Regions from separate parts of the Mus musculus genome. Here all the other regions are reported to be linked to region 1. Evidence: microRNA targets listed by miRTarBase, many of them from high-throughput screens and not tested one by one. Region 1 holds a microRNA gene; each other region holds the end of a gene's coding sequence.
The links. The annotated mature microRNA mmu-miR-139-5p reads UCUACAGUGCACGUGUCUCCAG and lies in region 1 at 2,313-2,334, shown strand. An mRNA with a match to its seed (bases 2 to 7 or 8) in the 3' UTR can be bound and repressed. Matches are read on the target gene's strand: a 7mer-m8 pairs with bases 2 to 8, a 7mer-A1 pairs with bases 2 to 7 and ends in A, and an 8mer does both.

Region 1 (7,000 bases):
AAAAGAAGGGCAGGAGTCAGCGTAGAGGAGGAATCTCTCCTCCCTAGGTTTCCTTAAAGGGTTTCCTTGTATGTTGGGGGTCTTCCCCGGCTGGTCCTGGCCTCGACAGTCCTGTCTCCTATCCCCTTCTGACTCTCACGTGTTTCCTTGTTTCTGAATTGGTCTCTGTCCCTGTATGTCTCATACTCCCATTCTCCTGGGATTTGGGGAACAGTTGGGACGAGCCAAGTTGTGAGGATGGAGCCAAATACAGTCAGAGGAGGAAGCAACATGAGGCTGTGGAATCGACATACACCAAAGAGACACACCAAGACAAGCAGACACAGAGGTCCCTGGGGAGGTACTGGGAGGGCTGGGGACACTCAGGACCAACCACCAGGCAGGTACCATGGGACACTTAGTTCTCTGCCCAGCACCCCTGGTCAGCCCTCCCTTCCTGCCCTTCTGTAAGCCATACATCGCCCTGTGTCAAGTCAGTGCCATTTAGCATTTATTATCTATTGTGGGCACAGGAGGGAAGGGGACAATGGAAGAGCGGGAGACAAGAGGCTCCACCCAGGCCTAGAGAGAGACACCCAGTCCCATTCCAACATTGGAGAGATGACAAGTCTATCCCTTGGCCAAAGCAGGACTTGAGAAGTCCAAAGCCACAGGAGAGAGGGCCTCGCCCCATGCCTTTAGGGGAGAACCTGGCTATTTTTTTTTTTTTTTGTCTCCTCTGACCTTCCATACACCCCATACCAAACTGGGCATCCAATGTCATGACACCTGAGGTCTAAAGACGTTGGTCTCATAGGAATTCCCAGGAGGACTGGGGTGGAGACAGGTGTTCCCCATGTAGATGACGTCCTTGAATAAGAGGTGCTGCTCACCTGCTCTTCCTGGGACCCTAGGCTTTTCCCACTTGGAGATGATCCTGAAGAGCAGAAGGTCTCCTGGCTTGCCAGATACCTTGAAAATGCTGTCAAAAGTTCTCAGGGAAAAGCATCCTCTCATTCCGTGGGCTGTTTGTCTACGTCTCTCATCACGCCAGACTTGGGATACAGAGACCGCCATTGTCTCCCCACCTGGGACCTCCAGGAACTCCACTTCTCTGCTCAGGAGGTCGCTGGCCTCCACCATTTCTGGGCTCTCATTGGAGACTAGATGATGCTAAGAGCAGAAGAGCTATGGGACAATCAGGATGCTGTCCTTTCCCCCAAAAGCTCCTGGCCTGATGGGGGAGCCAGAGAGGGCAGTGTGGCAAGGTGATGACACACAGCACCGGGAAGGAGCATCCATCAAGTTGTGAGGGTCCGAGTGAGCAGACCATCACTGGCTCTCTCACCCACCCACTCTTGTCTGACCATATCTTTTCCTTTGGCATACTTCCCTTCCTGACACTGGTCCAGCTAGTCACTCGACATTCCTTTCTCCTGAGTGGACCATTATGTCTGACTTGCAGAGGCTTCTAGGCTTGCTGGGTCAAGCTCTGGTCCTATCTCCAAGGCCACATGAGAGGTGGGGTCGTAGACATTCAGGCTCATAGAAACCGGAGCAGGAGGCCAGCCAGTTCACCGAGACCCTTTCTCGGGGTATTGATTCCCAGAGTCTCTTCTTTCTTGTACACCCTGGGGAACAGTGTACCCAAGCTTCCTTGATGCCAAAACATCTCCCCAGACACAGCTCTGAGTCACAGATACTCACCACAGTCCCCAGTGACTGTCCCACTGTATTCAATTCAACTCTCATGGTCACAGAGGCAGGAAGGTTAGAGACCACAGGAAACCAAGATGACGGGAATTGTGAGGAGACTATGGTGACATGTATGGGAGCTGGGCCTTACTGGTTAGAAACCTGAGGGCTATGGGGACAGAGTGGTCCTACTGTGTGGAGGAGGCAACTGAAGATGGGTAGGGTGAGGAGAAGTCAAAGTCTGACCCAACTCAACTCATCTTAAAGCTTCCAGGCCAGGGCCATCACCTCCTCCCGATACTGGGCTCTTGTCTCCCTCCTCTTTCCATTTCCCTAATCTTTCCCTTCTAGACTGGAGAGTAGACTGTCAGTCTGAGAGGACTAACAACCCCTGCCTTCCCACCTGGCTGCTTCTCCTCCTTCCCACTCTCTATCACCACACTTGGCCCTGGATGGCTTTAAAGGGGTCAGTACAGTGGGAGTGCCTGGGGTAGAAGTTCAGCCTGGTTGGGGAGGAGTGGGAGGTCCAGGGGGGGACCAGCTATGGTAAGGGATGAGAGAAGCCAACAGTTGTCCCAAGGGTCCCCCTCAGGGAGTGGAGGTTCCCCTGGGAGGCGCCAGGACAGGCGCAGGTGTATTCTACAGTGCACGTGTCTCCAGTGTGGCTCGGAGGCTGGAGACGCGGCCCTGTTGGAGTAACAACTGAAGCCAGAGTCTTCGAAGGGTGGTGGGCTAAGGGGGAAGAGGGCATGGTGGGCAAAAGAAAGGGGGTGGGGGAGAGAGAAAAGGAGGACAAGGGGGCCCCTTCCTGTAGTACTTGGCTCTTGAGCTGCAGGTGGCTCCTTCCACGTGCCCCTGTGTCACCAACTCAACGATGGCCACAGCTCCTTTTCTCCTTTCTCACCCTTATGCCTCCTCTCCTTGGGGATCTTTCTTGTGGAGTCTCTTCATGTGGGGGTAGCATCCAGCTGTCCCCATGGCTACCCTCACTGGAGAAAGGATCTACCTTCCCTACATCCCGGTCTTTACACCCCTGTGCCTCTAAAGTGGGGTGAGTGAAAGGCACGTCTCAGGCCAGCAGCAGCTAGAAATTGGGGAGTTGGTAGTGCAAATTCATCAACCTCTTCCCAGACCAGCTGATGCAGAAATTCTGGGGTGGGGACAGCACTGTGTATTTCAACAGTCCTCCAGGTGACTCTGGGCCATGCCGTACTTTGGAAACCACTGAGGGACATCTGCAACCACAATCAGTACCTGAGAAAGGTACCTTCCCTTCCCCATAGCCAGAGTCACTCAGGGCTTATGAGGTGGCTCACTTGGCATCTGGGTTGCCCAACATCACCTAGTCTCTTTCCTTTCCTTTTGCTTCTGGCCCAGCTCAGCCTTGCTACTGGGAAGTCGTGGATGCAAGTGTTAGCACACACAAGCAGCTCTTGTAATATTTTCAGGTGACAGGTCTGTTAGAAACAGCTCTTTGGGCAGGTGGCAGGCGTGGGCGGTGGGGAGGGAAAGGAGCCACCTTCTCCTGCTTCCTCTGTTTTCTGCCTTGTGTCTGGGCAGCTGTGAAGAGCCAGAGAGGAAAACTGGGCTTCTGGACTTGGGCTTGGGCTAGGGACTTTCCTATTCTGAGTTTCAAGGAGTCCTCTTAAATAGTTATACTAAGTAACCTAGCTCTGGCTAATGGAGGTGTGCCCTGGGCATGGAGATAGATGCACTCCCCATTCTCCAGGAAAGATTAGGAAATGTGTGCATTGCTCTCCAGAACAAGAGGATGGAGACAGAGAGGGGGGCAGGTGGCATCTGCTCCAGGCTCCTGGTTTTCCCTACCGTGACCACTTTCTGGCACCTCTATTCATGGCTGCATTCTGTCTGTTGATGTTCTCCCCCCATGTTCTCAGGATGATTTCTTGGAGATCTGGGGGAGGAGTGGGCAGGAGAGACAGGAGTGATTGGGGTGGGGATATGCAGGAAAGAGAAGGAGGGTGGGCAGAGAAGCCTTCCCGGAGAGAGAGCCAGGATGTGGAGGTGGAAATGACATGGCAAGACAGGAGAGCAGTGTGTGACAGATGGACATCGCCTAGGGTATGATGGGGAGAGGCAGAGAAGCACTCGGAGGGACCAGAAGAGCCTGACCCAGAGGGATGGAAAAAAGCAGACAGGCAGAGGAGCTCCCAGGGAATCTCCCTTTGGAGGAAGATATCAGATTCCAGTCTGTGAGGTCAGCCCCTAACCTCAGGCCAGGAGGAGACACAGAGCAAGATGGATCGGCAGAAATGGTTCCAGGGTACAGTTTGGTTCTTACTCTGGAGTCCCATGTTATTACTTTCTTGTAGGGAGTCCAGGTGCCAGCAGCAGGGCGAGCAGATGGCAGGTTTGTGAGTTAGGAAAGTCATGGAGGGTTATAGATGCAGAATAAGACAGCATCTTCTGTCAGTGACCCCTTACTCAAGGCCATCTGTCCCTAAGGATGGCCCCAAAGGAGAGAAGACCAAAATTTCTGGTTTCATATGATCTTAGGAAGGAGTTAGAAGCAATTCAATCTGGGCCCTCTGCTCTCCCCAGTCGAACACACAAATGCTGATTCAGGCCCAGGTTTCAGAAAACTGGCAACCGCCCAGGTTTCAGAGAAACCCTGGTTCCAACAGCATTGTCCCCTTTCATGGTATCTAGGGAGAAAGACCAGCACACAGGAATGGCGCTGTCTGCGGTGCTGATGGCAGTCTCAGCCCACAGCAGCAGGTAGAGAGCCGCAGGTAAGGGAGCTGCAGAGAGCAAAAGAACTCTGTCCATTCTTCCACCTACTGTCCACAGACTACCACTGACCCTCCACCTATTTTCCTACCCACCCACCCACCCACCTACCCACCTGCCTCCCCTCCATTTCCTATCTCTTTACCCATTTGTCCACCCACCCACCCATTTCCCTTTTCCCTACCTATCTACCCACCTATCTGCCATCTAACTGCTCTAATCATCCATCTATCCATTGATTTTTCTCATCTGCTCATCTGTTCACATACCCACCATCTTCCCATTTTTTCAGTCTTCTATCTACTCATTTTCTACCCACTTGCCTATCTACTCATCCATCAACCCATCCATCCATCCATCCATCCATCCATCCATCCATCCATCCAGTCATGCACCCATCTACCCACCCACCTATTTTCCTAATTACTCACTCATCTACCCACCCACCCATTCCATGCATCCCTCCATCCACCTACCCAGTCACCCTCATCAAATTAGTCCATAAAACCACAGAACTAGAGGTGTCGCAGAGTGGAAAGACTCTTTTACATTCAGGAGGAAAACAAGGTTCAGAAGAGAAAGGGGTGTGTTCAAGGCCACATGGAGCTTCTGTCGTCAATCTGGGACAGGGCTGGAAATCATTGCTCTTGTCTATACGCCACAGGTTCTCCCCTGGGGTCTGGGAAATTGCCTGGTTGTTATGCTGATATTTTGATATTTACTCTGGTGTTTGTTCACAAAAGCTGCAAGGACAGGAAATGTGACAGCCTCCACCCACAATGAGCAAGGACTCTTGTGTATGTGCACACGTGCTATGTTCCCCCACCCCCGTGTGTGTGTGTGTGTGTGTGTGTGTGTGTGTGTGTGTGTGTCTGCCTGCATACTCCTAAATACTAGTCCTGACTGTACTCATTGGACGTATGACTGCATTTCTCTGTCTGTGCCTATATGAGCCATCTACATGGAGGTGTGAGCTAAGGTGTACACTTGACAGCCTGCCTATGTGGCACATGGTTGGGAGGGGGCGAGGGAGGACAGACAAACAAGTGGGTAAAAATGGCTGTTTTTCCCTCCCTTGAGAGTCCTGGGGTGCTAGGACTGTTTGAGGCTGGCTCCCTACTGTGCCTCCATTTCAGAAATTGCCCCATTTCCTCTTCACAGCTGCTCCCTCCCCCAAGGCTGCAGTTCTGTCCTGTGCCCAGGCAGGATTCGAATGTAACTCCCCTCCCCCAGCTGGTGTAGTGGAGGTTAAGTTACTCTCAGACCCTTGTGGTGGGGTGAGAGGTGGGTGTTCATTTGTGCAATTGGCATTTCAGCGAGCTGTACAGGCCCCTCTGAGTGGCCTGTTTCCTTCAATCGTTCCCACAGCTAACACCTCATTCTTGAGCAGGTCAGACTCCAAAGCAGATGGAGAGATGGCTGCCAAGCCCGGAGCCTCAACTCTACTAGTCTGCATCCTACTTACCCGGGCAAGGATGGAGAACCCCTCCTTGCTGGTGCCCCAACTCTCCCCAAGCTATCTTACCTCATTCCCTCTACCACCATCACCACCACCGCCATTTTCTTGCCCTTGGCCTAAAAAGGCACAGCAAACTGATCAATCAGAACAAAGGCCAGACAAGTAGCAACCAAATGGAGTAAAGGGCAGCTCAAGGCATCCACCAATCAAAGCAAAGGGCAGGTTGGGGAGCTGGCCAATCAGAACAAAGGACACACTGACTTCTCTAAGCCTTTGGGGTGGGAGATGGGAGTTGGGTGCTGTATATGCTCAGATAAGGAGGTTTGGGTAATCTCTGGCCCACCACAGATGGGCCATTGTTTTTCTTTGAGCCTCAGTTTCTTCATCCCTCAAATGGGGAGACAGCTACTGCAGCCTGTGGCTTCAGAAATTTCTCTTGCATGGAAGGCTTCCTGCATTGCAGTGGCTGCCATTCCCATTTCCCTAAGCACACCCATGGCAGATGTCACCAAAGTCAGACGCTCTCTGGGTCCCTCTTGGCAATCCTCCTGCCTTGAGACAGGAATAGAACTCCATGGACACCAAGACTTGGGGCCTTGTCCTTGAAGCTCCATTCTAGAGAGTGTGGGTCAAGAAAAAAATGTGGGGGGGGATTTTCTGGGTATGGAATCTTCCCTCTGTGGTCTTTAGCCTTAGGCTTGGAAGCACATAGAAGCCTGTGACAGTGCTGATGTGGGGGTCTCTGGTCTGCTACATGAGAAAGTAGCTGTTGCCATGAGAACCTAGAAGGGTTTGACATCATACTGGGTGTCTTCAAGGATATGGGGCTCTATGTAAAGGCAGCACTGATGCCTGAGGGTTGCAAGCAGGCAAACTTAGGGATTGTGTTGTCTGGAATCAACTGCTTCCAGGGTCCACAGTGGATAGATATCAACCATGACCAAGATGCAGTACACCCTGACAGGTGGGAGAGACCAAAGCAAGGTCTGGGCAGGGCAGGGAAGGCAATGCCTGCGATTCTCCCTCCCACTGGGAAAACAGCACGTGTGTGTGTGTGTGTGTGTGTGTGTGTGTGTGTGTGTGTCTGTAGCCAAGGAGACTTGGCAGTGGCATTTG
Region 2 (7,241 bases), not on the chromosome of region 1:
TGCTGTCCACTAGTGTCAGTGGTGCCTGGAAGATGGTAGGGGAAGCCCCTTCCCAGGTCATTTCCTTTGCTAATGTTTCTTCCAGCTTCCAGGTTCCAAGTAAGTTCCTATTTTCAGTCTTTAGCTGCAGCTCCCCAAAGGCCAGATGCATTTGATATCTGTGATGCTCTGTGGTTCTATAATCTGACTAATCCAGGCAATGGAAATTTGCTTAAGAGATTTGCATGCTGTTTTCAGATCGTATTGTTCTTTTCCCTCCTGGTGTGTGAGCATGAATGTGCCTGAGCCCACTCGCTGGCTGGTGCCCCCTCCGGTTTTATTTTTTTTTTGTTTTTTGTTTTTGTTTTTTTGGAAACAGAAACCACCCCCAGGCCAGTCTCTGCCCTAGCCAGCCTCATTCTTTGGGAGGCAGTTTGGTTTTGAGTTGAGGTGGGGGTGTCTGCTATCCCAGGTTACATCCTGCATCAGATTCTGTATCTGGGAGAAAGCAGGGAAAAATCTGCCTTGAGGACCATGTGGGGGAGACCAAAGCCATTGCAAGGGCCTGAAGAGCCAAGGCAACTTCATGGCTCCTGGCATTGGAAACACACACGCACATGCACACGCGCGCACACACACACACACAGGCGTGCACTGTCTTATACATTCTCACACAGACACATATTTGTGCATGTTAGCCAACCCTGGCCCGTGCTTCCTGAGACCTCTTTCAATTCTGCTCCAAAGCCAGTATTACTCGAATCAGTAGTTTGATGAGTCTAATCCCCTCGGATCAACTGTAGTACCAAATCCAGAACATTGTTATTCAGCCCAGAGCTGCACCAATTTGGGGGCTGGTCAGTCAGCACTCAGGACACGACTCGTTTCCACTTTCAGCAGCGAGAAACACACATCCTGTTTGTTCTCGAAAACCTGGATCTTGGGATCTTCACACTGTGATGTTATTTCTCAAATAATCACACAGGCCATCAACGTTGATCACCACGGACATTTCTTCCCCCAAATTAATCTGTTGAGATCCTTGTATTTGCCCTGTGGGGTCCATGGCCACTGTTGTGGTCATTTGTTTGAGGCATGAGCCCCATTTTTCCCACCCACTCACCCCTCAGAGTCTGGCTCTTGGTTTCCCCTTGGGAAGCAGACGAGCGTGGGTGGGGGGATCTCTGGGCAGGAAAGAGGGAGCTGGGGACAGCATCACCCCAACTCCCCATGGCACGGTGTCTCAGAATTACATATTCATGCTGGCAACCATCAACTGTAGTGCTAGAGGTGATCTCCTTTCCCAGGATAAGACAATCTGTTCCCATGTATAACGCGCTGATGGACTTAACACTTGTGCAATTTTAGGGACCTTTGATTGCAACGGCCTTTACAAATGGATACCACTGAGCAGGCGCTTCCATTGCCGTCTCACTATGAGGTATTACCATCTCTGCCGTGCGTCTCCGCCCTGCCCGCGTGTCCGTACACATATGTGCCCATACGCTCATACGTGTACACACATGCACATCACATCACATCTCTTTCTTCTCTCGCTGAACCCCCTTTCAAAGGAAGAGGGATCAAAAATAAATCCAGTATCTTTATTCTCTCATTTCCTCCTCCGGCTTTTAATCATGGCACTCCTCCCCCCCACCCCTTCATTTTGCTCATTTTTAATTTGGTTCTTTTGGCTCTGTTTCTGTATCTTCTCCACCCTCATCTTTTTCCTTCTTGAGTGGGAAACTGGAAGGTGATCTCATTTTGTGTCCATTCCAGGAAGGATGGAGGCAGGTAAACTGGTCTTATGCCAATCCTGGGGTCGGCATGGGGAGCAGAACCATTCTCAAAAGTCCTGTGAACTGCCCCGTAGGTTGCCGGGACTCTCAGCCAATGGGGTTCGTGCAGCCAACCGGCCTGACTCCATCTTTGAGTGAAAGGAAAACATTTTTTTTTTGCCAGTTAACTATGGAGTAATTATCAAGATTACCACACGAAAAGCAAATTAAATTAACAGCATCACCTGCCTAACGTGAATTTGGATCCCTGCCAGTTTCTTAACCTTTTAAACTGAGCTCAAGTTAATTAAACATTTTTAAATCACTTTGATGGGAATCCAGAGGTGGTGGGAGAGACGGGAGGGAGGCTGGGCAGGTAGCGAGCAATCCTCTTACCACATTCTCCAAAAATGAGTATCAGGTTGGGAGGTGTGCCAAGCAGAGGATTGTCATCCTTGGGGAAGCCCAAGGTCTGTCCTGTGCTGGCATGTAAATCAGAGGGTGAGACAGCGATGGCTAAGGCCTTGGAATAGGTCCTACGTGGGGAATCCCAAGACTTTTCACTTGGAGCTAGGGGAAGGAAAGGCCAGCTCTGGGTTTGTCCACTCTCTTGTAGAGGGGAATCTTCTAGCTCTGGAAGCAACCATGACTCCGTAGACCAGGACCATTTGAGAAACCCATTTGAGTTGAGCTCCACAAATCTTTAAGCTCCGTCCTTTGTTGCTGCTCCACTAACTCTACTGCCTCTCCTAACCAAGTAAACCCTCTATATGAATGTTCCCACCCCTCACTTCCATTGCCCTCCATCACTGGCCAGAGCCAGAACCCACTAACAGCCTGAACAAAAGCTACTCGCTACTAATAAGGCTGGATCTTGGGGCTCGGGGACAGTGAGGTTCCTCTGAAAGCAAGGAGGGCTGATAGGACCAAGAACTCAGAAGGCTGAAGATGGCTTCAGTGTCTAACAAAAAGGGACTCAAAGGCTGCCTAGGCATAGCAGGTCCTCCCTCGGGAGTCCAGCCACTGGGTCTATCAGTATCTGCTCCTCACCCCAAGAGCCCCCTCCCTCATATGACCTCACCCCCAGTTTATGTCCATCATTCAGCTTTAAGACTCAGTTTCTACATAAGGATAAAGTCATCAGGAGGGCAGCAGTTCAAAACCCACTCCTTCCGGTCAAGTCACATGATTGCATAGCAGCTGTGGAAGACTAGGCAATCATATCATTTGTCTCCGGCAGAAGTGACCCTCTGACATGTAGTCACCATCCACAGAAGAGCCCAGGCTCACAGGCCATCTAGGATCACCCAGTTAGCAAGCCTGAGTCCTGGGTCTGTTTTGGTTTTCTTGGACCAGAGCTGGTTATTTGGTTTGGTTTGGTTTTTTTTTTGGGGGGGGGGTTGTTGTTGTTGTTGTTTATGTTTTTATTTTTTAAATAGTTATATCCATCCCTTAGTATATAATCTCTTACTACAGATTCACATTAGTTATTAACAGTTAACAATAGGTTTCTCTCCCACCCCTTCTTTTTTGGGTTTTCAAGATAGGGTTTCACAGTGTAGCCCTGGTTGACCTGGAACTCACTCTGTAGACCAGGCTGGTCTTGAACTCACAGAAATCCACCTGGCTCTGCCTCCCAAGTGCTGGGATTAAAGACATGCACCACCACCACCCAGTTGGCGATATTTTTTTTTCTTAAACATAGGTTTAAAAACAAAAATTTAAGCGGAAGGGTTTTGTTTTATCAATGTGTGATTTGACCAACTAGTGGAAACCTATTCTGACTCCACCTCCCTCCAGGATCTCCAGAACTTTCCAGCCCTGTATCAGATCTATCTGTCAAGCACAGCCTAGATATCTGGTTTACCAAGCTAGGAAATCAGCCATTAGCCCAGCTATTTTTTACACACACAGTCACATAACTTAGTCTTTGACAGCTGTAGTTTTGTAGTTGAGACCTTGGCATGAGCCATATGTGTGCCTGACATTTCTCTTCTCCCTCCCACCCCTGCTCTTTGTTCTCTCCGGGACGCGCCTGACCTCCCTACACTACAGAGCATACCTGGATGTCCAGGCAAGACTGGGCGAAGTTTCTGAGTGGCCCTTTGTTTAGGTGACGTCCTCAGACCTGGACCCCCACCAGCCTCACTCCTCATCCCAACCAGAGGTGGCACACTTGGATTGAGGGTTGACACATCTCATCTCACCCATCGGCTACCTGCTGTAATATAAGACAACAGCTTTTAAACGTGTATATAATCCATGATTTTGGTTTGGTTCTGTTTGTTTTCCTTGGTGGTCCCCCTCTCCCTCTTCCCTTCTCCTTTTAAATCTCCCTCAATCACATTTGGTAGTGATTTTTGACTTAGTCTGGTAGTCACCCAGCTTAATATCTAGTTAAAGCTAACCATAGTATACTTGTTATATATTAAGGAGTTTTTTTTCTTTTTTTTTGTTTTCTTTTTTCCTTTAAAGAGAATTTTTGTTTTGTTTTGATTCTGTTCTCGCTTTTAAAGGATGCTGAGATGGTGATGTTACTCTCCATTTTTGGTACCAGTTCTGAGACTGTAAGACTTTTCATCTGGGACTTTAGCACACACTGAATCGAAGTTGTGATACGCGGAGCGGGAGGTGGGCATAGACTCTATTTTGTGTTGTAGAAGTGACATACAGTTGGCTGCTTAACAGACTCTCTAGCCGTTCATTTTTGTGACGTCTCTTTGTTAACCTAAGTATATCTATTTTCGGCAATAAGGTAAGGACGGCCGTGTTTTGAGGGTCTTCCTTTCCTATGAGTGCTTTTTCTTTTCTTCTGTTCAAAGAGGTCATATTACAAGGTTTTTTGAAATTGTGAATTCTAAAAAACAAAAAACAAACAAAAAAATGTTGTAAATATAATTCCATTAACTACATAGAAACTATTAAGGAAGAGAGAATCAAAAAATATTTTTGTGAGGGAGTTGATCCTGGGCAGTTAGGTACCCTGGAAGGAGGGGAGGGAACCTCGATGAAGCCAGTACAACAACAGAAGAGCCCCCCCAGCTGCCAGGGCACCCCAGACCCCCACTCTTCACTGTTGGTGTGATAGACCTAAGAACCACATTAGCACCCTGCCAGCCTACCAGCCTCTCTGTGCACAGCTTCTAATGTTATGATCTAGCTAGATTTTTATTTAAAATATGAAAAACTGCTTTTCCCAAGACGTTTTTTAAAAGGAAAAAAAGCTACAATTTTAATATTTGACATATTTAAAGTTTCAAAGCACACTTGTTTTGGCTTAGGGGAGGGGCAGGGTGGGGTCATTCTTTTTCAGTCTTAATTTTTAAATATCTGATCATTTTATATTGTCCGATCATTTCAGCACCTCCAAAGGGTCCTAGGATATTCTGCCTCTCTCTTCACCCTGTCCCCAGACGGGGGAACCCGTGGGTCAGGCGTGGATAAGCCTGCGAGAATACACCCTTTCTCCATTCACTTTCTATTTACAAATTAGGAAAGCAACCTTTCAGTTTATATATATATTTTTTTTCCTTTTTGATACCTCAGTGCTGCAAGTATCATCAGAGAGGCTATGGAAGAGTTTTGTGTTTTGTTTTTTGTTTTGTTTTTTTTTTTAATTTATTGTAGATGTAAACAGAATTTTAAAAATAAAATATAAACATCACTGCACTGTGACTGGTGGGGAAAACTGACAGCTTCCTGTTTGTACACATTTGACATTGGCTGTTATAATATATGGTCCTCAGTTGGGGAAGACACTTAGAATGAAGGATGTTTTTTAATTTAACTTTTTTTTTTTTTTAAAGAAAAATATCAGTAATAGGTCGGCAACAGCAGCCGTAGGAAGTACAACTTAGGGTAGCATTAAAGCATACTGTAGTGTGGATATATTTTTTTTCTTTTTTAAAATGTGATATTGACATTTTATTAATATTTTTTAAATTGTTACGTTTATAAATTTGGTACTTAAGGCACAGCCAGTGTGAGGCACTGAACGCGACATTTATTACAATGAGCTGCTGCACTCCTACTTTTATAAATTTTACTAACAAGTAGACTAATGTAGACATTCACAGACGGGATAGCGCAGAAGCATCTTCACACGACAAGTCTCCAAAAAAAAAAAGCTAATTCAGAGAGGGCGGGAGGAAGCCTGTTCCCGTTCTAATTAAGTGCAACCTTGTTTTATCTTATTGTTTTATTTTTTAAGAAAGGAAATCATGTTCTTTTTTTATATCTCTATATATAAGATACAGAGTTGTTTGGTAAGGTTTGGGGTGTTTTTTGTTTTGTTTTGTTTTAAGTTTCCAAACAACCAAACTAAGAAAAATGCTGGATGCTTTTAGAATACAAAACTTACTCAAGTCATAAAATAACAAAATAGAACTTTTACTTTAAGAAACAACAACAAAGAGAGAGAGAGACTCGATTCCCAGCAAGTCAGTGTCTCACAAGGGCACTGGCTAATTACTCTTCTGTCCGCGTTGCTGATGTCCTGTCCCCAGCCCCTGTCCATCTCCCCCACACTCCCATCACCTCATAGAACGCTCTTTGTTGATCATTGTCTGTTAATAATGTATAAAATGGCTATCTTGTAAGTGTGCTGTCTTGGTACTAGTGTAGTGACTTTTTTTCTCCTCTTCTAGTACATATTGATAGGTATAATGTAATTAAGGTTTTAAAAAAAATAGACATAGTTATTCAGATTAGGACCAGTAAGGATAGAACTTTCTCTTATTTATGAAAAGAAAAAAAATGCTAATAATTTGGGGGCAGTTTTTTCCTTTTTTTTTTTTTCCAAGTTCAAATTTACTTTTATTTTTGCTGATTTGATGTGGTTTCAACTAACCCAAGGTCTCACAATGTTCAAATGGCGGCTGACTCTACAGCATTCTGTAGGTCCCTGCCCCCCTAGCTGAAGGGGTGTGCCATACTACCTTAAATGCAAACACTAGATATGCAAAACTGGATTTTTTTAATTTATTTTTTAAAAGAGGGAGGTGTGGTATATTAAAATGATTTTACTAAGAGAAAAAAAATATTTTTTTAAGGATGCTCAGAAGAAATTGATAATCTGTGTGAATATGTTTTAGATGTTTATATACATTTTGAAGAGACCCAGTAGCCCATAGCACAAATCTTGTGAACATCTGATATGTTTTCAAGTGGCTACCTAGGATAAGGTTCATCATTAGTACCCCCACCCCCACCCCACCGCCATCTAGAAGTCCATCTTAAACAATTTTTTGTAAATTCTTTCAGCACTGGTGTCCATCTTTGTCTTTGTTTCAGTTAAGCTCAATAGCGAATGTGGGACCCCCTCCTCTGACCTTCCCTGGGGGAGAAACCCTCTTGGCTAATGGCTCTTCCCTGGCATTATCAATAACCACCCGGGGACTCTCTGGCTTTCAGATCCATCTGCCTGAGACCCCAAGGTCCTCTCCTCCCTAGAGGGGAGGTGGAGCAGCAGTTGACTCCTGGTTC
Region 3 (7,241 bases), not on the chromosome of region 1:
AGCAGTTTGCTTCAGAGCACAAGCTCAGAATAGCAAATGCAAATTTCCCAGAGCAGAAAAATATCCTACAGTTTTTGTTGGGATCTCAAATATCGGATTAAATCACTACTAGGGTTTATATCACATTTGTCAGCTAGTGGTTGGTTTTCTGGCTTCTCATAAAGTGTGGCAAGCAGAGTGTAGGCAGGTCCTTAAACATAAGGGCGGGTACCTCAGCACTCACTGACCATTGCTAGGCACTCACTGACCATTGCTTCGCCTCCTGTGTGACAAGTATGAGTGGAGAAGGGATCAGATGAGAGACTCCCAGTCAGAAGTGGAAAGTGTTTCAAAATAGTGTTGCTGTTCCACAGCATAGGCTACTTAGAAGGCTAGTAGGAGGTGCAGTCTTCTCTCAGAGACTGTACAGTGGGTATGTAAAGAGCAGTACCAAAAGCATCCCAGGCTGGACCCAGGGGCAGCCATTTCTAGACCATGGCTCTGCATGCACTGGAGGTGGTGCAGGCCCAGTTGGTCGACCATGCGTTGGTGACTGGGAACTGCTGTGGTTACTTACATACTGATGCTAACTTCTCTTACCCTGCAACATTTTTCTCCTCGGTAAAATAAGATTGTAATCTTTATTCACACATTCTTTTCTCCCTTCCGCTTTACAGGTGGATCATACAATAATAATGTACTTGATTGGACCAGATGGAGAATTTCTTGATTATTTTGGACAAAACAAGAAGAAGGCAGAAATAGCCGGCTCAATTGCTGCACACATGAGGTCACACATGAAGAAGAGGTAGCCAGAGCCGTGTCACCAGATGCAGGATTGGCTTGCTGAAGAGGAAGCTTTGTCTCCCAGAGGAACCTCTATATACTGTAACATACAACATGGACTTCATACCCTGAGAACATCATTCTACATGAGATGTTACCCTGGGGCTCAGCCAACCCAGTCTGCCAGGAAACTACCATGAGTTAAAGGGCCAGGGTGGTCAGAGCCAGTGGAGAACAGACGTCCAGAACCATCAGAGAGGCACACAATGCACATCTGTAGGAATGGCACTCTTGGAGTAGTGTTGCTTCCTTGCCGGTGTCTTCTTGCTCAGGGGGGCCAAATTCTACAGGAAGGTGTCACTTCCGTAATGTTCTTGCTGTTTCAATTTGTGTGCTCAGCATAGGCATTCAAGTCCTCTTTATATTTGAGAGTAGAAGCTTAGCTTCTTTGAAAAGGAATGTCACCATCAGGTCTGCATCTCTGTCACACAGTAGGTGCTGCTTTGGGCTGGAGGAGAAAACTTACTGTTTGCACATAACTTTTGGTTCATTCTCCACCTTTTTATTTTTTATTTTTTGTTTTTTGAGGCAGGGTTTCTCTGTATAGCCCTGGCTATCCTGGAACTCACTCTGTAGACCAGGCTGGCCTCGAACTCAGAAATCTGCCTGCCTCTGCCTCCCCAGTGCTGGGATTAAAGGCGTGCACCACCACTGCCCAGCTTTTTTTTTTTTTTTAATCCTTTTTATTTTTTTAATAGCTAAGTGGTTTGACTGGTTTTCAGTGGTAGACCACGTGGAAATGAGAATATTTATCATGTCTATGATCTGGTAATTTTTATGTACCAGATTACACAATGTATGAAATAAAAGATGTGGTCAGTCCAGCAACTTGGACAAGCATGGCTTTGCTTCTGTGAAGAATGGGTCCCTAGCACACCATGGTAGGGGTAGAGGCCACAGACTGAAGTGCTTGTTAAATAGATAAGTGCTTGTTAAAATGCAGATTCACAGGCCAGGAACTGGCCTCTCTTGAGTCAGAGTGGGATACAGAGACCTGGGTCTCCAGGGGCAAGTGACTGAGATCTGAGGACCTGAGCCCACACCTGGGTCATCTGTTCCATAGAGAAGTAACAAGCATAACCAGCTCTTAAAGGTGTCAGCAGCTACTCCAGGGAATGTCGTCTGGCTGGGTGTGGTGTGCACACTGTTAGTCCCAGCACTCGGGAGGCAGAGGCAGGGGCTTCTTCAAGTTTGAGGCTAGCCTGGTCTAATAGAGAGTCTTGGGCCAACCAGGCTACCTAATAAGACCCTGTCTCCAAAAAAAAAAAAAAAAAAAGAGAGTAAGAAAGACGATGCCTGCTGAGTAATGAATCTTGGCTTTGTTTCTGAATTAAACTTCCCTGATACCTGGGTTTGGCTATCTCCTTTTCAACTTGAACCTTTTTAATGAATCCAAAGATGCTACAAATGAGCCTTGCTGGAAACCATTCTTCCCAAACACAGATTAGTTTATATGCAAGCAATAAAGGCTTACCTTCTGGTTTTTAACTTCTTGGTACTTACATGAAGCCTAATGAAAATACTTATGTCACCATGAAAGAACACCTGTACTTGTTATAGGCCAAATCATGTCATTTACAATTTATATATTCAAGTCCTGGATCAGTCACTTCAGAATGTGACTGAATGTGGAAAGAAGGCATTTATTTATTTGTTGGTTTGTTTTTAAATTTTTGAGGCAGGGTTTCTCTGTAATCCTGGCTGTCCTAGAACTTGTAAGGACCAGGCTGGCCTTGAACTGAGATCCACTTGCCACTGCCTCTGGGTAGTATTTGGTGCTGGGACTAAAGGCATCACCACCCCCACACAGCTGGAGAGTAAGGCTTTAAAGAGGTAATAAGGTTTAAATGAAGCTGTTAGGTTTTCTCTTCCTTAAAGCAAACCTACTGATATCCTTAAAAGGGTAGGAAATTAGAACACAGGAGAGCAGGCTGAAGCACAGTTGTCTGTCCCTGGCCTCAGAAGAAACCGACTCCTGACACCCCCATCATTGATTGCCAGTCTCTAGAACCTTAAGAAAACAATTATTTTCTGTTAAATCAGTCAGCTGCAGTGAACCAGTATAGTCCATTCCTTAGTTGTGAGCCACCATGTGGTTACTGAGAATTGAACTCGGAACTGCTGAAAGAGCGGTCAGTGTTCTTTAACCACTGAGCAATCTCTCCAGCCACCCTGTTCAGAGACGTTTAAGACATTAAGTAGCCATTTAATGTCTTTATCTCAGGGTTCTGCATCGGTCACTCTATATCATACTGTAACTGTGTGTATACTGCGCTAAGGTCAAGGAAGAAGCAAGTAGAGTAGGGTTCAGTGTAGACCAGAACAAATGCAACAACCTGCTTGTTAGGGTTTTTCTTTGTAAAACCAGGATTGCATTAGGAAGGCATCAGATGGTGGGAGCACAAACCAGACGTGCACAGCTCCAGCAGGACTTGGTGTGATTGGTTTCAATTGAAGCAGACACAAAGCCCCTTCCAGAGTGAGATGCCTTGAACTATGTAGTGGCTTACATACCTGGAAGTGTAGGATGTATCCTGCCACTGTCTACAATCTACACCTCAAAACACATCAGAAGAATTCCTATGAGTGGCCTTGAAAGAAAGCATGTCTGGGGTGTAAGACTTCAACTCTTAGCAACGTGCTCTAGCTTAGCACAATAGCAAGGGCAGGCTACCCCAGGTGAGAGAGGGACAAAGAGACTGAAGAAGGCAGAGCTCTCAGCAAAGTTTAACAAACCCAAAGGGAAGAGAATGGTTTATTACTTATTGCAAACATCACCACCCATAATTTCCATAATTTCCCTACTTGTTCTATGCAAGAGTCATCATTAATGGGTATTATTCTGAGACAAAATTCCATTGTTTTAATTTTTACTATTGATCACTAGTAATGCCATGTTTTCCATCTATAATTTACTTGTTATTCTTCTTTTTTGAACTATGCACTTATGTTCTTGGGCTTTTTCTGAAGTTATTCATATATAATTTCTTTCTGGACTCATAATCATTTCTTATCCATTGGTGTTAGTATTTATGTTTTTGGTGAAGCCTAGTGATGACTGTATGTGTTCTGCCTTTGCTGTCATGTCATAACTGCATTCCTGGGTATTACGGTTGTAAGAAACAAAGGCTCACTCGTTGAAGCTCTAGAGAAAGAAGACGGGAAGAACTAAAATCATTGTGTAGACTAGACCTAAAACTGGATGCTCAAGAACGCCAGAGGCCAGAGCATTTCCCCCAAATTCAGGCTCACAGCACAGCAGTGTGGGAGAAAATTAGGCTGTCTATACATTTACATTTTTAGACAGTGTAAACATATATGACTATGCAAAAGTATGTACATCCTGTTTATAAAGTATAAACTGATACCATGTTATAGTTTACATTTGCAATGTGCGCCAACATTTTATTAACTTTTCAACAAACCCAAAAGGACCTACATGGGCCCTTCCTCCAACACCACTACAATGGCGGACCTGATACTGTGATGGTAGGACAACTTCAAGACCATCACAAGACCTCAGTGCCCAGCAGCAGCAGAGGGGAAGGCTCTCTTTCTTACTCTGCCTGGGCTCTTAAATTTGCATCATCCTCACATGGAAAATGGATAATGAGCTGCCAACTGCAGACCCACCCAGGAATACTTCAGATGGCTGGACTGTAAGAGTAGTGTTTCCAGCCCATTCCACAAAAAAGGAATTTAAATGGGAACAAGGATCGTTGGAGTGGTCTCACTGTTAGGCTGACACTGACCAGCTGTCTCTTTCCGTTCTTCCATGAGACTCCCCAAAGGCCTATGAGCAAACTCACTGCCTCTCAGTGCCATGACAGCTTTGGTTGCTGACCTCTAGGGTGGACTGGAGGTCTCTGGAGCCATTGATTCTCTATGCCGTGAAATGGGAATGGAAGACCCTGCATATGGGCCCTGACTCTGACTATTCAAACAAACCCTTTGGGTTTGTTAAACTTTGCTGAGAGCTCTGCCTTCTTCAGGGGAAGTGTTGCCTGCTGAGTGCCAGCCTTACTCTAGATTCAGAGAAAGACTTTGTCTCAAGGAAATAAAGCAGAAGAGATAGGGCAGGACACCAGTGTCGTCCTCTGGTCTTTACGTGTGTACGTGGGGATACGAATCCTCAGACACACATACACACACACCACATACAAAAAGAAATTACTAGGAAAAGTGGTCAAGTCTAAGGAAGATAGTTGATCTCTTGTGTTGACTTCAATCCCTTTGTAGTTTCTTCCAACATCATGGTGCCGAGAGAGATTGTGGTGATAAGAGCAGGATGAGGTATCTGCTGTGATTCGCTGGTAATATCCCCCTGCAGGGGTTGTAGGAGTAGCCATCTTGATCTAATTCCCACCAGCCATGAAAGTGAGCTGCTGGGTTCGCTGTTGCCCTGTGTGCTCGGTTGCTGTTGACTGGAGAGAGGCATAATATGCTGGGTTCCTCATGCACAGCCTGGCAAGACCCTGGAAGCAATGCCTTTGGTGACAGGTTGCCATGTCACCCCAGAGAATGTAATCTATTGTGACAGGCAACACTTCCCCTCAGCATACCTACAGACTTGTGTCTCTTATGCTCGTTAAGTGACAGAGTGACAGGCTAGAGATGAGGGGTTATAGTTATTAGTTTACCCCCCCCTCTGCCTTTTAATTTTACATAGAAAAACTAAGGTCAATTTAGTAAGTTTAAACTTTACCAGGGAGATTTGTTTCTCCCATAATCCAAGGCTATTCTCAGTGTTGAGGCACTGAGGTCCTGCACCAAGCACGAAGCAAGGACCAGGACCTCACCACAGCCCATCCCCCTGTGCAGCACTCCTGCTGAGTCACAGCTTCCCCATCAATTAAGTGGGGATATGGCCACCTGCTCTGCCTATTCCCTGGGATTGAGGCAAGGCTCAAATAAGATCAGGAACAAATGAGTGAAGCATTGGTAACACACGCACAAGATTACTAGGACATTTGACATATGAAAGTTCCAAAAATAGAAAAAAACACGAGAGAAAGGAAAAGGGATGTGAAGATGAGAATATGAGTGCCCAGCAGACACAAGACATCCAACTTCACAAGGAAGCAGCACCTGATACCTCGACAATACAGTTGCCTAAACAAAGCTCCAACAATAACAATAATCATGCGAACTCAGAAGGTGGAAGCCGCACGGTGTCCCAACTCTAGCAGACAGACTCACAGGCAACTAAGGACTGTTGAGGAAGGGAAAATTGGGAGCCCCTTAGTTGGTTACCCAGTGCAAAGTGGTTAGCCTTGAAACCATGTACACACAAGCAACACCAAATGGACTCAGCAGGTTGTGTGTGTGTGTGTATATATATACATACACACATTTATATATGTAACAGTAATAAGATGCCATCAATTTGAGATAGAGTAAGGGTGGGCATTAGAGAGGCTTATGGAGGAAATAGAAGTGGGGAAAGTGACATAGTTGGATTTTAATTAAAATTTAAAAAAAAAATTTTTTTTTTTTTTGGTTTTTTGAGACAGGGTTTCTCTGTGTAGCCCTGGCTGTCCTGGAACTCACTCTGTAGACCAGGCTGGCCTCAAACTCAGAAATCCGCCTGCCTCTGCCTCCAGAGTGCTGAGATTAAAGGCGTGCGCCACCACTGCCCGGCTGCTATCAATCTTTTAAGATAGTCATGAAGCTGATTTTAAATTCTCTCTCTTTCTGGCTTCCCTCACTCTGTAGGAGAAGTTCTTGAGGTTATGGGGTTATTGACGTTCCAACCAGCCCAGCACCCCACAGGTAAACCTGAGCAAAGGGGTCCCCAAGCTCTACATGCTCCCTCCTTTTCAGGAACCTTCTATGGGGGATTTGCCACCTCAACCTACTCAAGGCCCTAAATATGGGCCTGTCTTTTAGAATAAAATGTGTGATTGTTTTCTTAAAAAAAAAATGTAGACGTTTTGAGACAGGGTCTCTCTACATTGCCCTGGAAGTCCTGGAACTCACTATGTAGGACTAGGCTGGCCTGAAACTCACATAGAGCTACCTGCGTCTGCCTCCTGAGTGTTGGGATTAAAAATGTGCACCACCATGCTTCGCCTTGGTCTCATGACCCAAGGTAACGCTAGTGAACTGTAGGACGGAGGGGGCTGAGTTAGACCCCCTCCTTAGAATCCAAGGGCACCAGGGAATCTCCTGCAGGAGGTTGCATGAGCCGGTGATTTGGAAAGATGTAGCTTTCTCCCTAGGTTTTTATCTGGGTTCCCCCACCTTCCCTCCTCACCATCACGAGATTTCCTGAGTTCCAGTGACCTAGCAGACTGGAAGAAGGCATATGGTCTGGCTGTTAAACCGTAACTTTTAGCTCCTTTCCCGGATGAGTGAAAGGGAGGGAGAAGTGGGAGAAAGGGGAGAAGCTGGTGGCTGGAACTAAACCTGAGAAA
Region 4 (7,000 bases), not on the chromosome of region 1:
CGGGTAGAACGCCGTTTGTATTGACTGCTCTGGTTTGAATACAGGTAGTACTTAGCTAAGACCTGAAGGTGACACTGTGGAAAGGTTCTGTGGACCTTTAAGTGGAGCCTTGTGGGAACCCCACATGATCAGTTGAGTGTGTGCACACCTCCTGGGAGTGTGGGGGCGTCCCCCTCCCTCCCCCACCCCTTCCTCCCTGTTTCTTTGTTTTGGTTTTCTTTCTCTCCCTTACTTCCCCCTCTCTGACACCTCTTTCCTCTTCTCTATAAGACTTGGAACCCAAGATCAAAAGAGCAGGGTAGCCTTTAATCCCAGCATTTTGGAGGCCGGGGCAGGCAGATTTCTGTGAGCTCCAGGACAGCAAAGGCTACACAGAGAAACTAACCAGAGCAAGCGAGCAGGGTGAATGCACTTGCTACCAAACCTAACAACCTGACTTCCATCCCCAGGACATACAAGGCAGAGAGAAGGAAAGAACCAACTCCTATGTGTAGTGAGAACTTGGTTTCTTTGAAAAACACAAAAATAATACAAGAATGTTTTCATATTAATCCCCGGTGTGGGATATGGGGCTGCTTCATATTGTTAACAGCAGCTGACTGTGGTTTGTTTTGTGCCCTAGGAGGGGTGTGATTTTTGCCAGCTGCATATAATTTCTACAGTGGGTGATGTTGGGAATTCTGGTGACTTTTCAGAGAATATATAAATGCTAGTTCCCCAAAAGGCAGGTTGGGTTGTTGATTGTGAGTTATTAAGTAGTCGTATGCAAAGAAAAAAGAAGAATAAGGAATCAGATATCCTGACTGCGAAGATCAAACTTGTCCCAAGGAACTTGATGCCCCTAATCAGCAGGAAGTAGTCTATTGATAGGGCATGGGACTTACCATCTGACTTACTGTGTAGCCCAGGCTGGCCTCGAATTCAGAGATTCATCTGATTCTGCCTCCCCAGGGCTGGGATCAGAGGTGTGTGACATCACTGCTCAGATATTATCGTGCTAAACATTTCCCCCATCATACTGCTTTTGCTTTTTTGAGGCAGGATCTCATGTACCCAGAGCATACAGTTCAGTCTCCAGCATCTAAAGAAACACACACACACACACACATACACACACACATACACACACACATACACACACACATACATACACACACACACACAACATAAACCAGTGGTTGTGTATGCCTGTGTGCATAAGGTTAAACTTGGGGCTTTTATATATGCTCATTAACAATCTCGTTAAGTTAACCTGGCCTTAAACTCGCTCTGTAACCCAGACTGGCCTTAAACTTACGATCCTCTGTGCTCAGTCTCCCAAGCTGCTGGGGTTACAGGCCTGAGCCATTGGTCAGGCTTATATGGTGATTTCCCTTCATGTTATCACATAAAACTCTTGGTAGTGGTGGTGTACAGCCACCAAGGAGGTAGAGGCAGGTGGATCTCTGTGAGTTGGAATCCAGCTTAGTTTACTGTGTGAGTTTCAGACAGCCAGAGCTACACAAAGAATCCCTATCTCAAAAACAAAAACAAACAAACAAGAAGAATAAAATGAATTGTCAACATACATGTCATTTTCTGTCAGATAGACTCCTTTACTTCAAATTGTTCTGTTGGGGTCTGGAGAGATGGCTCAGTGGCTGCTCTTCCAGAGGACCCAGGCTCCATTCCTGGCACCCATAGCAGCTCACACCTGTCTCTACTGCGGTTCCAGGGGATATGACGCCCTCTTCTGGCCTCTGCAGGTACCACATACAACGGGGTACACAGACATGCTGCCACAACACCCACACATAAAAAAGGTTTTGGGGGGCCGGACGTGGTGGCTCACGCCTTTAATCCCAGCACTCGGGAGGCAGAGGCAGGCGGATTTCTGAGTTCAAGGCCAGCCTGATCTACAAAGTGAGTTCCAGGACAACCAGGGCTATACAGAGAAACCCTGTCTCAAACAAAACAAAACAAAACAAAACAAAACAAAACAAAAAAAAAAGGTTTTGGAAGAGGTGTGACCCATAATTCTAAGCTTTATACTCCTGGAGCTGTGTCCTCTGTCTGTATCAGCAGCTTTCTCTAGTCATTGACTGCAGTGGTCTGTGGTGCACAACCAGCCTTTGCCTCTTGGAATTGAGGAGAGACCCGCTGAGGCTCGTTTTCTCTTTTTCTCGCTCTTTCTCCCAGGCTCTCCAGGAAGCCCATCGGGTCCTAAAGCCAGGAGGCCGGTTTCTCTGTCTGGAATTTGGCCAAGTGAATGACCCTCTCATATCCAGGTTAGCGCTGGTGACAGGGCTGTATAAACTTATCCACCAAAGGCTCCCCACCCCAAAGAGGAGAGGAGGAAGTCAGTGAGCCCCACAGGCGCTGAGTGTGAGCTCAGAGGTCAGCGAGCCCCAAGTGGAGATGCAGAGGCCAGAAGACCCTCAACCAGTACCCACGGGCCTACTCAGGAGCTAAGGCAGGAGGATCACCTCTAGTTCAACACTTGCCTGGTCTGTATAATGAGTTCCAGGCCTGGCTTGTCTGTAGAATGAGACTCTCCCAACCCACTGGCCAACCAAAAACTTAAACTCAGGCAATTGATTTCCAGCTTCCGTGGATAGAGCAGATGTCACAAGCTTGACAGAGCATATTCCCCAGGCAAAGATCAGAGGCAAGGTTAGCCGCCTCTCCTCCAGTTTCCTGGCGCTCTGTCCCACGCTGTGGGCCTCCTGGCCTTCCTCTTTGCTTACTTGCCTTGTCACAGGCACTTGCTTGACCTCTGTAGACACCTGTGTCAGCGACCCCTGCCTACAGTGTCCTGATGGCCATGAAAGGATGGCATCCCACAGGAGGCTCCCTCTCTCCACCCCTCTCTCTTTGAGACAGGGTTTCTCTGTGTAGCCTTGGCTGTCTTGAAACTCACTCTGTACACTAGGCTACCCCACCCACAAACACACTTTTCCTTGTTACTGGTGGAGTAGCCAGGAAATAAGCCCAGATCCTGCTTTAAATCTTTTTGTTTGTTTGTTTTTGTTTTTTAGGCTTTATGATCTGTACAGCTTCCAGGTCATCCCTGTCATTGGTGAGGTCATTGCAGGAGACTGGAAGTCCTACCAATACCTTGTGGAAAGTATTCGGAAGTTCCCAAATCAGGTACAAAGCTTTAAAGCTTTCGTGGCGTACAACAAAGTCCCCGAAGGTGAAGCCCAAGCATCCCATGTGTCTTTTCTTGCATTTCAGGAGGACTTCAAGGACATGATTGAAGACGCAGGCTTTCAGAGGGTGACGTACGAGAACCTGACTACAGGGATTGTGGCCATTCACTCTGGCTTCAAACTCTAGCTCCTTTTCTACTGTGGCACACAGGCCAGTCATTTCTACTGAACCCCGGGGCCAGATCATCTCCCTGATGAGACAGTAGCTGACCATTCGTCTCCTCTTACGGCCGTTAAGACTTTGGATTAGCTCTCATTAGTAGCTGCCCAGGCTGCTGAGGCCTTCTCCCAGAAATGTCTGGCCTGGTTTCTGCTGGACTCCAGCTAGAGGCTTAGCCGTGCAGTGTGGGAGTCAGGTAAAACCAGCACGATTGCAATTCTCAAGTTTGTTCATAGTTTCTTCCATGACAGATGTTTTCTAGAGGGGTAATGGGTCACTGGAACCCAAGGAGAATCTGAACCAGCTCTTCAGACCAGATTGGAATCTAAGGTGGTCCACATCAGAACGCTGACAATGTGGGCACCCAGCGGTGAGCACCTCTGAGATCTGGGGCTAGGGGTACAGCTCAGTGGAGCACATGCCTGGCCCGTGGAGGCCCTGGGTTTGGTGCTCCGCAGAAGCAAACAGAAGTAGGAACCTGTGAAGCAGTGAAGTTTACAATTTGGGTGTGGTTGTTACTCTTTCCTGGAAGAGGTGACACAGATATACGCCACCCTCGGCTCCTGGCACTTACACGGTGTCTTACAACTCTCTGTAACTCTTACTAGGGAACCCAATGCCCCCACACAAACACACACACACAAACACACGCGTTGACATACATAAAAAGTTAAATAAGAATCACAAAAGTGCCATCTCAGCACTGCCACTGCTGAGCCAAGCCCGCAGAGCGAGTTCCAGGCCAGGCGGGACTGCATGTTGAGCTCATACTTCTCTAGAGAAGCTTAAAAGAAAAAAAAAATAAGACTATGCATATAGCCCAGTTCCTCCAGTTCCAAGACCAGCCAGAGCCTGATCTCATTGCCCTCCATTGTGATGTTAAGGGATTTTCTGTGTATCTTGAACCTGACACTAGGCTTTATACAAACATTTGTTTAAAAAAATATATAATAAAGTAGGGTTATCTGAAAGGTCCTCAGATGTCACTTTTTGGCCCAACACACTAGGGGTCATTTATAGATCTCACAAGCCCTCACCTCAGAACAGCAGTAAAGAGCATGAGAAAATGCTAAACCTTAGACAGTGTTGTATTTTGTTTTTGAGCCAGCATTGGGAGAAACTCCATACACCATCAAACCAATTTTATTTCTATAGCAACATGTTCTCACATCTGAACCCGAAAATACAAGTCACCAGCTCCTGACAGCAAACAAAGCCTGATCAAGTTAGACTCTCAGTGTCCAGCCACGCGGTCTCGCGTGGCACTGGGGACTGCTACTGGAGACTTAGCAATTACAGTCTGATGGCCAAAACTAGTCAGGTCACAAGGAGGAAGAGGGACTCCATTCATGCAAACAGTTTTACCTGTTCAAAATAGACAAACTTAACTGCCCTATCTGTGGTCACATGACTCCAAGTACCCCATTGTTTCTGCAGATAGTAGGAGAGGCATGTCTACTGTCACAAAACGGTAAAACAATCAGGAGGGGTGCCCATCTGCAATCCCAGTACTTGGCAGGGACAAAGGAACATTTAAGGTTGCCAGGCAGTGGTGGCGCATACCTTTAATCCCAGCACTCGGGAGGCAGAGGCAGGTGGATTTCTGAGTTCGAGGCTAGCCTGGTCTACAGAGTGAGTTCCAGGACAGCCAGGGCTACACAGAGAAACCCTGCCTCAAAACAAAAACAAAAAGGAACACTAAGGTTATCCCTAACCATGACATAGTTTGAGGCCAGGACTGGATTTCCTAAGACACTTTCACAAAGAAACAGGCTTGCAAGATGGCTTATGGAATAGACTTGCTGCTGAGTCTTAGAATCTACACAGTAGAGAATCACTGACTGCGCACACACCAACAGCAAAGTCTCACACTCCTGGTCCTGACAGAACACAATGTCTGACCAAGTTCAGCTTACAAAGCTGTCCTGAGGCTCTCCGTAAGAAGCATAGTGAAGTGTGGGCTGGCTGCCTGGGCCTCTACCTGCAGGAGTCTCCTATGCAGGCCTCTCCTTGGGTTACAGTAGCTCCAACTGACAACGGGGCAACTTGGTGACTCCGGGCCCATAGCTTTCATTAGGTCCCCAAGTGAAGCTGTGACTCACATGTACTGATGATTTCTGAGCACAGCCAGTGAAAGCAGCAGCCTAGCAAATGAACTCTTGTGGTCGGTCCGCTAATCCAGGGCCGCCTAGAACCTGCTCTACTCCTTCCTTAGCTTCCCAAGTGCTAGGCTGACAGGAACAGGGCCTCAGACCTGTGGCTAATAATCCAAATCATCTGGAAAGACAGGTGTGGCCTGCCAGACATTCCATCAAGAGAACTAAACTAATCCTACAGAACAGGAACACCTCAGACAACAGACCAAGTCACTTACCAACTGCTAAGCCTCATCAACCCTATCTTGAACAAACTAGCAGAGACATACATCTCCAACAGATTTATTTTTAAAGGAATGACCTAAGGGAGAAAAAAATGGGGGTACAGAAGTATGGACTAGAAAATAAATACAAATGTAAGCTGTTTTACTAATTTTATAACCACAGACTTGTACAGAGAATGAAGCCCTGTACACAACACAACAGATTCAAACGAGGTGTTCCCTTAGCAAGGCTGAAGATTCAGTCTCTGGTATTTGGAATTTGGATGCAGTCCTTGTTTTTGGATGGATCACTGGGTGTTTGGCACAGTCCATGCTTTTAACCAGATTTGAACAGAAGAATGGCCACCTGACCCAGGTAGAAGTAGATGAAGTGTTTGGTTTCATGTGTCACATAACTACCGAAGTTTCGGCCCACAATGCAGTGCCAGGTAGGGTTGTACTTCTTGTCAAACTCCTAGGAAGAAGAAACAGAAATTTAGTGGTACACCTGGAGGATTCACTTTCCAGAGCCTGTAGGACCAGAAAGGGCAATCCTGGCATCTGTAATTGTCTCCACACTGGGACTGAATCCAGGGCATGGGCATGCAGGCAAGCGCTCACCACAGCCCCAGCAAATTCTTAAGAGAATGTTCCCTGGCTTTAAATCATCTACCTAATGCAACGTGCTTGCAGTCTGAGGTAAACTGAGAATGGGAGCTAAGAAGATCAAAGGTAGAAGGTCATTTTCAAGGACAGTTCTGTTTCAATGAGGGCACTTCTGGACTACTTTGATTTTTTTGTTTTGTTTTGTTTTCTAAAGACAGGGTCTCTCTGTAGTCCTGACCGCACTAGAACTGGTTTGGTCTCAAAAATCAAAGAGATCTGCCTGCCTCTGCCTTCCTAGTGCTGGGGGGTTAAAAGACCCATCATCTGCACCTCACCTCTGACTCCAGCAATTCGATGGAGGTAGATGACATCAGCATTTGCAGTTCATCAGGCTCCACCACTGTATTTGCCATGCACCCCAAATCAGGAAGACAACCACCACCCCCCCCCCCAAAGACCAAAGGACAAAGTCTCAATTACCACATAAATCAAGCCAGGCTGAAAAATGCAACAGAACCTGACAGTTAAATGCCAGGACTTTATCTTTTAAAATCGCTCTCCTCCACATCTACCCAGTCTTAAAAATTAGCAAGTTAGAGAGCATCTGCTACCTGATTCTCCCATCCCATGGACATTAAAACTAGCAATGTGTTCATTTCTTCACTAGTTGGATAGAACCAGGGC

Region 2: the mRNA of Msi2 is a reported target of mmu-miR-139-5p. Seed matches in the 3' UTR shown: 7mer-m8 at 5,631-5,637.
Region 3: miRTarBase lists Sco1 as a target of mmu-miR-139-5p. Seed matches in the 3' UTR shown: 7mer-A1 at 1,396-1,402.
Region 4: the mRNA of Dynll1 is a reported target of mmu-miR-139-5p. Seed matches in the 3' UTR shown: 7mer-A1 at 4,976-4,982.

What each region holds. Positions count from the first base shown.
Region 1 is chr7:101,473,070-101,480,069 of GRCm38, forward strand. It overlaps Mir139 (microRNA 139), which reads left to right and starts at 2,307; the gene lies at 2,307-2,374. The region is part of intron 1 of Pde2a (phosphodiesterase 2A, cGMP-stimulated); the gene reads left to right.
Region 2 is chr11:88,341,232-88,348,472 of GRCm38, reverse strand. It overlaps Msi2 (musashi RNA-binding protein 2), which reads left to right. Exons shown (of 14, transcript NM_054043.3): 13 at 1,348-1,420; 14 at 3,813-7,241. The coding sequence ends at 1,389. Among named protein-coding and RNA genes, the nearest start is that of Mir378b, 7.9 kb to the left of the region's middle.
Region 3 is chr11:67,063,250-67,070,490 of GRCm38, forward strand. Sco1 (SCO1 cytochrome c oxidase assembly protein) reads left to right here. Exons shown (of 6, transcript NM_001040026.1): 6 at 657-4,191. The coding sequence ends at 791. Among named protein-coding and RNA genes, the nearest start is that of Myh3, 11 kb to the right of the region's middle.
Region 4 is chr5:115,292,649-115,299,648 of GRCm38, forward strand. Dynll1 (dynein light chain LC8-type 1) reads right to left here. Exons shown (of 3, transcript NM_019682.4): 3 at 4,462-6,185. The coding sequence ends at 6,048. Coq5 (coenzyme Q5 methyltransferase) reads left to right here. Exons shown (of 7, transcript NM_026504.2): 5 at 2,179-2,267; 6 at 3,018-3,129; 7 at 3,217-4,324. The coding sequence ends at 3,318. Among named protein-coding and RNA genes, the nearest start is that of Dynll1, 4.8 kb to the right of the region's middle.